Caenorhabditis elegans: one gene and its partners. The protein of the gene in region 2 interacts with the protein of the main gene of each other region in a pairwise test. Each region holds a gene or a part of one and is shown on either strand. Other genes may lie near its edges.

Evidence for each region. Proteins that work in one complex are often made in the same cells at the same time.
Region 1: the proteins of eat-17 (region 2) and rab-8 interact in a two-hybrid assay, tested with the Caenorhabditis elegans proteins (one study listed by BioGRID).
Region 3: the proteins of eat-17 (region 2) and rabn-5 interact in a two-hybrid assay, tested with the Caenorhabditis elegans proteins (one study listed by BioGRID).

What each region holds. Positions count from the first base shown.
Region 1 is NC_003279.8:3,682,349-3,685,628, reverse strand, and holds rab-8 (Ras-related protein Rab-8A), read left to right. Parts: upstream 1-1,542; 5' UTR 1,543-1,569; coding exon 1,570-1,599; intron 1,600-1,646; coding exon 1,647-1,801; intron 1,802-1,848; coding exon 1,849-1,909; intron 1,910-1,968; coding exon 1,969-2,358; 3' UTR 2,359-2,739; downstream 2,740-3,280. Other genes in the region: D1037.1 (Protein SON), read right to left, coding at 1-326, 382-665, 741-827.
Region 2 is NC_003284.9:16,413,785-16,418,678, forward strand, and holds the start of eat-17 (Rab GTPase-activating protein eat-17), read right to left. Parts: upstream 3,057-4,894; coding exon 2,944-3,056; intron 1-2,943. UniProt on the Caenorhabditis elegans protein: Rab GTPase activating protein for the small GTPase rab-6.2. Required for grinder formation, which is the feeding organ that breaks down food.
Region 3 is NC_003281.10:5,862,807-5,867,082, reverse strand, and holds rabn-5 (FYVE-type domain-containing protein), read right to left. Parts: upstream 2,531-4,276; 5' UTR 2,527-2,530; coding exon 2,476-2,526; intron 2,427-2,475; coding exon 2,325-2,426; intron 2,271-2,324; coding exon 2,064-2,270; intron 2,015-2,063; coding exon 1,281-2,014; intron 928-1,280; coding exon 777-927; 3' UTR 544-776; downstream 1-543. Other genes in the region: eng-1 (mannosyl-glycoprotein endo-beta-N-acetylglucosaminidase), read left to right, coding at 77-280, 327-543; dnpp-1 (Aspartyl aminopeptidase), read left to right, coding at 3,375-3,485, 3,537-3,630, 3,678-4,095, 4,145-4,276.

The sequences.
Region 1 (3,280 bases), on a different chromosome or scaffold from region 2:
TCTCCTTACTTTTTTCATTTTCAGAATTATCCAGATTTCCATTTTCACATATATTTTTATTCTCCAAATTCTTTTCGATTCCTTCTGGTTCTTTAAAATCTCCATCTCCATATGCAATTTCTTCTATTTCTCCATCCTCAACTTCTTTCTTATTCTCGGCTTTTGGCAGAACTGTAGTGATGCTAATAGCCAGCTTTGTCTCTTTTTTCACTAAAGGGGTGCTGAAATCCGCGCCAAGCGGTAGATCATCGGCCTCATCTTTCCTTGGCGGCTCCTTAAATTCTTTCGGTTTGCCATTTTCGGTACTTGGCGCTTGCGGGATTAATCTGTAGTAATTTTTATTAGTTTAAATACTTATTTCGAATTTATTTTCGAACTTACTCATTTTTTGGCGCTTTTTCGAGATTTTTCTTCTCAATTTTTTCTTCCCTATGCTTTAAACGGCTCCTGCTTCTGCTTTTCCTACTCTTTCTGCTTCTTCTCCTCTCCTGACTACGCCCCCGGCTTCTGCTCCGGCTCCGGCTTCGACTTCTTGAACTAGACCAAGTTTTGGATCTTCTTCGAACTTTCTTGCTTTTCTTCGACTTGTGCCTGTGATGCTTCTTCGGCCTTTTCCCAACAAAATCTGTCTGATCGCATCCGGCTAGTTTATCCACTGAGAATGGCTGAAAATAATGATAATTAATTATAATTATATAATTCGATTTGTAAATTTTCCAGTACAATTTAAATTAATTTACTTTTTCCGACGATTTCACATCATTTAAAAGATCTTTAATGATGTCTTCACTGCAAGTTTTCGGGGTAATTCCCTCGCCATCGACCATTCTTGGAACTTTTTGACCTGAAAAAAGGTGATTTTTTGTTTAAAAAAAAGTTTTTCAAATTGCAAAACAAGAGGATACAAACGACGCTCCGTTTTTACGTTTTTACATCGTCATGGCCGTGGCCGCTGCGCGTTTTGTTTTCCTGCTGCACCGATACCACCACCTCGCCCCCTCCCAATAGTTTATTTTTGAAAAAGGCCCGTGACCACGATGTCTTTGTGAGCTGTCTAATCGATTCATTCCCTCAGTGAAAACAAATCTTTTTATTGCGAAATTTCCTCCAAATTTTATTCCTCAACACTCATTTGTCGCTTTCTTTGCGGACATTGTGTGGGAATTACTAATTACATACGTCTTCACATGACCCTTCAATATTGACCAGCTATCCTCAAACCAACTGAGCACACACACACAGCGTGACATCTGTTCATTTCTTTTTTTTTTTCATTTTTTGCGGTCATGAAACTTGGAAAATTCAATTTAAAAGTCTCATTTACTTTTAACTTTCGATTAAAATTGAAAAGAAAATTTAAAAAACAGTAAAACAAAACAAATAAAATTACAGTTTTTAAACAATTTAAAAAAATGAAAGGCTTTTGTACTTTTCGCTCCGGGACCCATCAGTGTCAAAAACTCAATGCACCTTTAATCTCACTTTATTTTAATTGTTTTTCTTCGATTTCGCGTTACTTTTCTATAGTTTTCCTATTTTCAGAGCTTTTCTCTCACTCACTCCAATAAAATGGCAAAAACTTACGACTACTTGTTTAAGGTGAGAACTTTTGCATGCCAAGATGTCAAGAAAACATCGTTTTACAGCTCTTGCTTATTGGAGACAGTGGAGTCGGCAAGACGTGCGTACTGTTCCGGTTCTCAGATGATTCGTTCAATAACTCGTTCATTTCAACAATTGGAATCGACTTCAAAATCCGTACGATTGAGCTCGATGGGAAGAAAATCAAACTTCAAATTTGGTGAGCTAGTTTTTATTAAATCCGATTTTATAAATATTTTTTTTCAGGGACACAGCCGGGCAGGAGAGATTCAGAACTATCACAACGGCTTATTACCGCGGTGCTATGGCATGTTTTATCAAAATTTATTTCACAAAATTTCAAATTTTAATTAATTTATCTTTCAGGGAATCATTCTGGTGTACGATATCACCAACGAGCGATCATTTGAAAACATCAAAAACTGGATTCGCAATATAGAAGAGCATGCGGCTTCGGATGTCGAGAGGATGATCATCGGCAACAAATGTGATATTGAAGAACGCCGTGAAGTGTCGCGGGACCGTGGAGAGCAGCTCGCAATCGAGTACGGCACGAAATTCCTGGAAACGTCGGCGAAGGCCAATCTGAATATTGATGAAGCTTTCTTCACACTGGCTCGTGATATCAAGAGCAAGATGGAGCAGAACGAGATGCGTGCCGGTGGATCAGTTTCGAATACGGGTCGTGTGAACGTCGGTGGATCGGGGACACAGAAGAAGAGCTTCTTCAGCAACTGGAGCTGCAATTTGCTTTAAATTTATTGCTCTCTCGCCATGTTCTGCCCTTTTCGAAGTTGATTGTGATTCAATTCAATTCAACTTCAATAGTGTACCATATCTCTTTTCATATTTTCTTTCCGTTTGAATTTTCTGTTCCAAAAACTCCTCCTTCGCACATTTTTGTATGCAGTACGGTTATAATTCTAAAAATAACCTTTTTTCTTCTCTCTTCTCTTCTGACCATAATAACCAACACTTGCTTTGTTTTTACCATTTTCGTCCCGTCTATTTCTCTGTGTCCGCTCTCTCTCGCATATTCAATTCACCCCCCTACACCCAGCATTCTGATGAGATTTCTTTTCAGGATTTCAGATTTATTTTTTTCGCGAATGTATGAACCAAATTGCATGTTTTCCCAAGTTTTTTGAATTTTCTGAATTTTGATCGAATATTGGGGTTTTGTCGGTCATGCAAATTAAAATTAATTTTTTCTAGAAGTTTTTTACTGAGCTTCTATTTTGCAGAGTCAGATTCATATACCAGCGACATTGAATAGTAGAAAGTACCACAATTTTGAATAGTTAAACACGAAAAACGTTGCAAGTATTACGGAGACGCTAAGTTCTGAGAATGCGTATTGCACAGCATATCTGGCGCGCAAAATATCTCGTAGCGAAAACTACAGTAATTATTTAAATGCCTTCTGAAGTGTCGATTTACGGGCTGGTCTTTCGATACGATTTTTTTTTAAATTGTGACAACAATATTCGATTTTCCTCCAATTTTTCGTTTAAAAAAACTAAAGAAAATTGAATATCGTTGTCACAATTCGAACAAAAATTTGTTTCGAAAATAGAGCCCGTAAATCGACCTACAGTAGTCATTTAAAGAATTACTGTAGTTTTCGCTACGAGATATTTTGCGCGTCAAATATGTTGCGCAATACGCATTCTCAGAA
Region 2 (4,894 bases):
GAATGCTTTCCTTATCAGTTTTAATACTAGCCACCGCCTCTGCATAGTGCGAGATAACAAAACAGTTCTCTTGTAAGGGACACGTGGATGGGGAATACTTTTAATATTAATTGAGATTTGAGAAAAAACATAAAGTTTGACTGAAAATGATGCACTGAAAATTATTCAGAATACACTCAAAACTTTCTACATTGTTTAAAACAAAAATAATCATAACTGTCGGAAAAAATGATAATTGTTATTTTTTCAGAAAAAAAACTGTTCTAGTTTATAATTTTGAATTCAACATTGTAGATCTACACAAATTTCTAAATTTCATATTCAGTTCAATTTTAAATCAACCAAAATTGAAAAATACAAAAAAAAACATTTATGTGAATTTTTTGGAGACTACACCTACTGTGCTAAAATGGCCAAATATCACAGTAAAACTTTTTTAATGTTTTTTTTTTCAAATTTTTAGTCAAAAAGTTACGATTACTCAGTCACTCATAATTTAAGCCGTCAAAAAAAACAAATGTTTTTTTTCTACAAATTGTATGTATAAAATTTCGTTAATTTGATGTTGCCAAAACTTCAAGTGAAAAAATTTTTTTTTTTTTAAATTTTGTAACTAAACTTAAAAACTTTCAGCTAAACTTCCTATTTAAAATCATTTCTCAATTACCTAAAAACTCCAAACTAAAGAAAGGCTTTCGTAACCAAATCCAATTGTAATATTAAAAAAGTCGTCAGTAGTCATCGAGACGTGTAATTGACAGGAACGGATGGCGGCGGTCAGTTTTGAGGTGAGATCAAGCGATCTGAGGACAAAAAGGGCGAAGAAAAAAGGTCGGGGTCAGATATTGCCAAACACGCACGCAATCAATAAAAAGGATATAAATAAGGAAGAAGAGGATAGGTGTGGTGTGTGTGGACCTTCCTGTGCACTGTTGCGTAGTGGTGGCGGTGTTCCCTCCTCTATCTCTCTCTCTCCCTGTGTTCTTCTGTAGTATATCCCACACGTAGAAGACGTCGCGTGGAAATGGTGAGAGAGTGGAGGGTGGCAGAGAAAACGAGATGTATACAGGTTACCCGACCGCTTTAATACAAAACATGTTTTCCTGTGTGTTGCATGCCAATGCTGATACAATTGATGATGCGAGTTAGCAGTCGCAATTGTGATGAATACCGTCCTATTGATGGTAAAATTTAAGCTATCATAGTTTGGAACGATGATGTTTTTGGAGTGGGTCTTGCCGCGATTTCTACATCTATCTGAGTACAAAATGAAAATTTATGAAGTTTTACCTTCTGAAGCGCACAGAGAAAAGGGTTTGTACAAAGTTTCACGAGTTCCTGAGGACACGATAGTATATGGTAGCTCAAAGAAAACAGGATAAAATCTAAACCTAGAGGAATTTCTTTTGAAAATGTGGCAAATTTTACAACTTGTTAACACTATTCCGATTTCCAAAAAATCAAAACTCCGGAAAATGAAAAGTTCAGGTCTCAGTGAAACTTGTCTTATTATTCTACAAAGCCAATGTGCAAAAACTATTACTTTGCCAGTTTGTACCTTATTTCCAGTATAGAAAAACGAAATAGTAAAAGCAGCCGACATTGATCAAAGTTTGCGATGTCTTATGCTGTTAGCGTTTTTCAAATTAGCCAGAGGGGCAGGATAGTTCCTTCGGTACGCAAGCAATCTGGAGGCCACGAGTTCAAGTCCGGCCTCACCCCTAGGTACATCCAGCCACTATTGGAGTAATCCACAACTGGATTATCGGCCACAGTCCCCGGCTAGGACGTGGCTTAAATTATAGCCCAGCGGGAGCACCACCGGGCAGTCCCAGATCCGCAGTGCATAGCGCATGAAGAACGGATCGACCTTTTCTTTCAATTTATAATACATAGCAATATTGCTTACACCTTCCCCTGCATCTCAACTCGAACCAACTGTACACGACTCATCAAACTGTTATCAAACCCCACCACCACGTTTCGAGGATTTACACAAAGCCTTGACCTATTTATCGCTGACTGACCCCTCGGTCCCGTATATTTGCTCGTGTTGTCACGTTCGGAGCAGCTAGCCCCTGCAGTAAACTGCAAGGGAAAAAAACCAACCACGGTGAGTTCAACACGAGCAAACAGAACGTTGTCGTCCCTAACTTTGTGCGCGCGCTCGAAGATCAGTTCCTTGTTCCATTCTCAATCTCGGGAAAACTCGTTGCCAACATGCCAATCACACAATTTCCTGGTTTGGTCAAGGTTTCGGACACACGGCCAACGGAATGCCATCATGCTTGTGTACCTAGTGTTCCAAAATTAGATTCGTCCCCCCCCCCACTCCTCCTGTATGCATACAGGAAAACGCCGGTTTTCCGTGGCGCCGCGCCAGGATATTTTTGGAAACTGTCGATGACCAATCGGAGGAGAAGAACAAAAATGGCGCCGCGCACGGACCGAAACGGGTGAAGAGCTTTGTCTAGAGGAAAAAAAGAATGAAGAGAAGAGTTGGAACAATGATTTTTGATTAAAAGCCAGTCAAAAATTAATTGGCAAGAGAAAAGGCTAATCTATTGATGGATAGTAGGCCAAGTTCAGTTGATCAAATTAAAACTGGTAAATAAACATCAAACTCAAATCAAACATTGATGGAAAGCACCCTATAGATTACTTGAATCAAAGTCTTTGCACAGAAATAGGAAAAATGTATTAAATTTGACGTAGAGGATTAAAACGACCAATAATACAAAGTTTCTAAAGCACAAGAGGAGGTACAGTTCGATCAGTTAAAGTTGGAAGGCTATTAGAAAGATAGTTGAGTACTAGTAGATTAAGCACAATTGGGAACTTGAAAAAAATGAGTCTCAAATTTTGAATTGAGAAATGTTCTGACCATTTCAAAAATATAATTTCTAAAACCTCCAATTTTAAAAATGATCCCAAAATTCTTACCATAATCGCTCCCAGTCTAGATTGAAGAAGCTAGCAGTTTCTTGAAAAAACGACGTAGACTGATGATGTGGAAACACTGATGGCGTTCCGACAAGAGCCGGCGAGGGCACCATCGTGAATATGTAGAGTTACGGAATAAAGTGAAATATTTTGATGTTGGTAGCTGTTTTTTTTCTATTGTTGTTGTTGTTGGTCGTATGGGTGTTGATCGAGAGATAATCAGTCGAAAAGTGGCGAACAATCCCGAGTTGAGCTCAGCGGGGGAGGGGGAAAAATTTTGAGCCGAGAGCCGTGTTTTGCGCGTCCGTCGCCACTATTGAGTCTATATGGTCGTAGCGAGGAGGACGCGAAACAGCATACAGTCGAAAAGAGAACGATAGGCGAAGGGAGCGACGCGAGGCAAGAGACCGGGCGGCGATCGGGCCGTGCGCACAGTCCGAAGTAGGCGTGACACAACCAAACCGCGAGTCTCTGAATCCATCGCTTCTTCTTCCCACAGAAATGGAGCAAATATGGTCATGTGCTTTAGCTTCTTCAAGACATACTATTAGTTTTTCAACACGTCTTGGTTTCCGCGCTGGGTTTTGCTCTCCGGAGGGAAACACAAGGCGCGCGGGAGTGAGGGGAGGGACGAGATTTACGGATTGGAGCAGCGTCCACACTGATGTCATTATTTATTTATACGGTTATATAATACTATTTGTGAAAGCCAAAACAGAGGTGCAACGTGTGGCTAGTGGACTTTAATTCTATCTACTTTCAGAACGAGATTACATCAAATATCAAAACTTTGCTGGACTTCTTACTGTATAAGCTGGAAAAAAGTTATCCAATAGCTCGGTCCTATACGGTCCTAATTTTGTTGAAAATCATTTTCACAGACCTTCATCAGAAAACGTAGTTTTTCTACCGTACTATACCGTAATCCATTTTATTTATAGAAAAATTCCAATTTTTTCATATCTCGAGATCTTTTACTACGATTTTACCCATGACGAATCAATTTTCCACAACCCGACAAAAAAAATTATCGAAACCCAATCTTCTCTAATTTTAGAAAATTTCACATTTCCGCCGACGGACACTAACTGACTGAGAACCCGAGTAATTCGAGGCCCTGCATCTTATCGGTTTTGTTTTTATTTGTATACCAAATGACTAACTGAAAAGTGGCACAACGAGCTGGCCTGTTTGATGAGGAGATTTTGATATTAGTAGGTCGCAGAGGCGAACAAAAAAAAAGCAAAAACTTTCGCCTGCAAATATTTGTGGTGGTGGTGTTGATACCCTGACACCGAAATATGAATCAGAATCGAATGGGACGGAAGAATAGAGAAGAGTGGAATGGCGAACAAAATAGCAGAATGAATAGTTACTGGAGGTATGATATTACTGTACGTTCAACTAGATAAATCATATATATATATATAATGATAAAATTTCAGAATGTTTCAGAGTAAAATGTGCGACTTAAATGTAAAAATTTTCAGTAGTTTTTAAATTTTCCGGAAGAATCAAAAGTATCGGAGTAAGCTCGAAAATTTAAGGGGTTTCAAGGATAAAATATGAAAATATGGTTTTCTCCAAATTTTGTATCCACTACTGATAAAACACTACCGTACCAACTACCGTAACCTAAAAAAGAACCGCACAGTCAATTCATAAATAATATGTCAAAAGTTTGTCGGAAAACAGAAAACAGAAAATAAAAACAAAACCTTTAAAAAGTAAAAATTGAAATGAAAACAAACAGAGAGAGTGACTAATGAGGGAAACGGAATCAAAAAATGGTGGTCCGTTGCGACGAGAGAGTGAGAGACGGAAAAGAAGAGAGGGGAGAGAACGCGCGGGGGGCGCCTCCAACACAAGATCAAAAGAGGGGGGAGGTGTGCAATCGAACAGTATGCAAGTCTAGAATTGGTAAATGTGAGAGTAAAAAAGAGACTTTGAA
Region 3 (4,276 bases), on a different chromosome or scaffold from region 2:
AGAAAATTCTACATTAGGATTTTTTTCAGAAAAATTCCACAATTTAAGTTTTATTGAAATTTTAATTTAATTCCAGCTTCTGGTCCAAACTTCTTCCACACATCCGAACTCGTCCTCTAACTTCTATAAACTTTGGCACCAACTTCTGTACTGGAATGGATCAAAATTGGCACTACCGCCTGAGCACAGTGCAGCTTCAGCCTCAAATTTTAAGCTCCTTCTGCCACCAAGTAATTGACTCTACAGGACTCACTCTTTTTGGCAGAAATCGAAAATTTCTGTAAGTTATGAACATACAAAAATTTACTCATTATAATTTTTTCCAGACTATTCACTTTCGATTCTGTCAACTACAGTACCCTGACCATAACTTGCACTACTTCCAATTCAATTGACCTGCTTCTGAATAGATCTGAAATTATGGACAAAACCGGAGATTCCACGTGGCATATTGACAAGCCAGGAAATTTGGAATCCATCAGCATCTTGACATCAAGCAACGACGAAACTGTGATCGAAAACTTTTCCATTGATTCTAATTAAATAATTCTAATTTCATAAAAGTCAATAAAACAAATTTTAATGCACAATTTTAGATCAATTTCTGGTATATATGTACGTATATAGAATAGATTAAGCATTGTACAAGAATTAAAAGACTAGACATTCTAGCACACGGATGATGCACATATAAAATCGGGAAAAGGTGGCGAAAGTGAAATTGGAAGGGCGAGTTGTGGATAATCAGCGACAGAATAAGCATTCCAGATGAATTATTACTTATCCTGCGTTGCAAAGAATGGTTTTGTATCCCGATTGAGCAGTGTGTGACATACTTTGCACACATTGGCTGGTCGATGATTTGGTCCACTTGGAACGGTGTCTTTCAGGCAGTTCATGCAGAATATCCGACCACAATGAAGACAGCTAAAAGATTTGAAAAATAAAAGTGACTGAAATATTCCATGAAAAAGTAAAATAGTGCTATCTCTTATTTTTCGCACTTTTTTAAAAATTTTTCCTTATAAAAATCTGCTATTTCTGGAAAACTATGCGTGATTTTTTATTTTTCGAAGCCTTTTTTTAAAAATATTTTAGGTCGTTTTAAGAAAGGGTACCGAACGCTTGATTCATAATCACTATATATTTTTTTTCTTTTTAAAATCTTCTGTTTGACATATTTTAATTGGAAAAGTGTAAAATTTATTTTTGAAAATGAAGAAAATAATTTTCTTGTAATTTTTTATCAGAAATTCAAACTTCCATTTTCAAAAACTTACTGAGGTTTAACTTTAACTCTAGCAAACGATGTATCACAATTTGAGCATTGATCTACATCATCATCCCATTGCCATCGTACTTCTTGTTCCGACTGTCGAATCTTCTCCAATTGAATTTGGAGGCTTTGAGATAATTTCACAAAATCTCTCTGCACAACTTCAGATGTGTCGAGTTCTTGTTGAAGACTTGTGCACCGTTGCTTGTAGTTCTGTGCCGTCTGTTCAACAGCGGCTCTCTCATTTTGAACCTGCTGAACCTGCGTCTCAAGTTCACCGACAGTTGTTTGAAGATCTCTAATTTGTCTGATATTCGAATCTTGATCTGCAATTGTTTCCGATGCAACAACCATTCGAGTGTTGATCTTTCCTAATTCCGACTGCAATCTGCTGATCTCTGCAGTAAATGTCACTTCCTGATCTTCTCTGTGCGCTCTTTCTTCTAGAATCTGAGCTCGCAGGACGGTGATCTCATCCTGCAGCTGCTGCTCGGTGTGCTCTTTTGCAGCTCGAGTTTCTATCAATTCTTCCCTATTCTTGAGACAAATAAATTGTAATTGATCAAGATCAGCTGGCATATCGATTTTCTCGGACCGAAGTTCTTGTGCTGATTTTCGTGTGGACCCGAGAAGCTTTTTGTACTTTTTTCCTAATGTAACAAAGTCATCGTCGGCTTGTTGCAGTTTGTCACGAGCCAAATTCAATTGATCAGTGAATACTTCTATCGATTTGTCGTGCTGAAATTAAGCTTTTTTAAAAGTTATTCTTTTTATTTATTTAAAATACCTTCGCACTGAGCTCGTCCAGCCGCTGCTCCGACTTGGCATTTGCCTTTGCCGCCTCGTTAACCTGATTCAAACAATTAGTCGATAATTCGTTCATTTTCTTTTCCAATTCTTTTCGATAGTCTCGTTCATTGCTCAAATCCAATTGATATCTTTCGTTCAACTCCATTGCCGCCTTCACTTCTTCCTTTAACTTTCGTTCGTTTTCCTGCAAAACAAACAAAAATCATTTGCATATTTGCCGTGTTCCCATGATTCTCACCTGTAATGCAGTCAAATTCACTTCATAATTCTGGCACATTTCGCATTGAAGCGTTGGATTCGGTGAGACTTGCGAAATCTTTTTGGACGGTATTGGCGGCTCCTGAAATTTAAGGGTCTTTGAATTATCGATTAAAATGCAACACTCTTACCTCTGCATTCACTCCGGCAGACACTTCTTCGCTAGCCGACGGTTCTGTCATTTTTCTAGAAAATTCTTGATTTATTCGAAAAATATATGAGTCATTTGATTAATTAAATAAAAAAGGTCTCATCACAATGTTGGCAAGGACTAGGTTGAAAACCTAGGCCATTTGGTGACACATTTAAAGAGCATTAAACATAATAATCGAGCAGTTTTAGTATTAATTTCATTAAACGACTTCCAAGAGAAAAGTAAATGTTTTCTGGAGTGAAATAAACATATTTCATTCTGTTGAGTTATGAAAATGTTATTATATGTTTAATTTATTTTTTATTCATAAAAATTTAAAAATTTGTAGTAAAAATCATTCTATTTATAAACAATATATCGCTCTGAAAAATCAAGATGAACAAAATTTTATATATAAAATTTATAATTATATTCAAAGTTCAGAACATTTCCAGCTATTGTAGTTTTCTTTCCAGGACCCAAAAAATGATTTAAGCGTTGCGCCTTGAATACAGTACTACTCTACGTTAAAAATTGTTCTTTTCTTCTTTTCGATTTCTAAAATTTTCCGACGTTTTTTTCCTGTCAATTTTTTTTTCACTAACTTTCCTCAAATAATTCCTGATCTTTTCGCTTTTCTCATGTCTTCTCCATTATCTTTTCCTTCATTTTTGATTCTTTCTATTAGAAACCTTGATAACTATCACTGATAACGCATTTTTGATAATCAGCACCACATATTCTTCTCTCGAACTTTCGCCCAGTAGAAACTAACCGTTTATCGCTTATAGAAAATCATTCCAGATTCAAATTTTATGCAACATTTTGTCTTATCTTTTTTCATTTTCACTCCGATGGTAGTAAAATATTGGGCTCAATTCATTTTGAGTTTGAATCATGACAAAGAAGTCGTTTCGAAAAAATCGTATTTCCGAAAAATTGAAAGTAGTGTGCGGCTGCTATCCAAAACATGAAATTGAGCCCAATACCAGCTATCAACCCAAAAAGGTTTTCACTATTCTTTCTTTGTCTTTTCATAAATAAGTTTATTTAATTTAGATGGCCGCTGCTCTGAAACCAAGTGCTCCGGAGATCCGCAAAGCTGCACAAGAGTTCATCAACTATCTGAATAAAGCAGTTACTCCATTTCATGGTAATATTTATTATTTATTTTTATATTCAAAAGTATATCAATTGCAGCCACCCAAGAAGTGAAGGATCGCCTTCTACAAGCCGGTTTCACAGAGCTTCCAGAATCGGGTCACTGGGACATTCAGCCAACCAGCAAATACTTTGTCACCAAGAACCGCTCTGCAATTCTTGCATTCGCTGTTGGAGGATCTTACAAGCCAGGGAGTGGATTCTCGATTGTTGTGGGACACACTGACAGTCCATGCCTCCGTGTCAAACCAATTTCCCACCAAAAGTCTGATAAATTCCTTCAAGTTGGTGTATCAACTTACGGAGGTGGAATCTGGAGAACCTGGTTTGACCGTGACTTGTCGGTGGCTGGATTGGTTATTGTCAAGAATGGAGAGAAACTTCAACACAAGCTGATCGACGTGAAAAAGCCAGTTCTTTTCATTCCAAATTTGGCGATTCATTTGGAGACCGACAGGTATTTGAAATTTGTCACTATCGTCCTAATTTTGCAATTTATTTCTCAGAACAACATTCAAACCAAACACGGAAACTGAGCTCCGCCCGATTCTGGAAACCTTCGCTGCTGCTGGAATCAATGCACCACAGAAACCCGAGTCTACTGGTTTTGCCGATCCACGAAACATTACCAACAATCA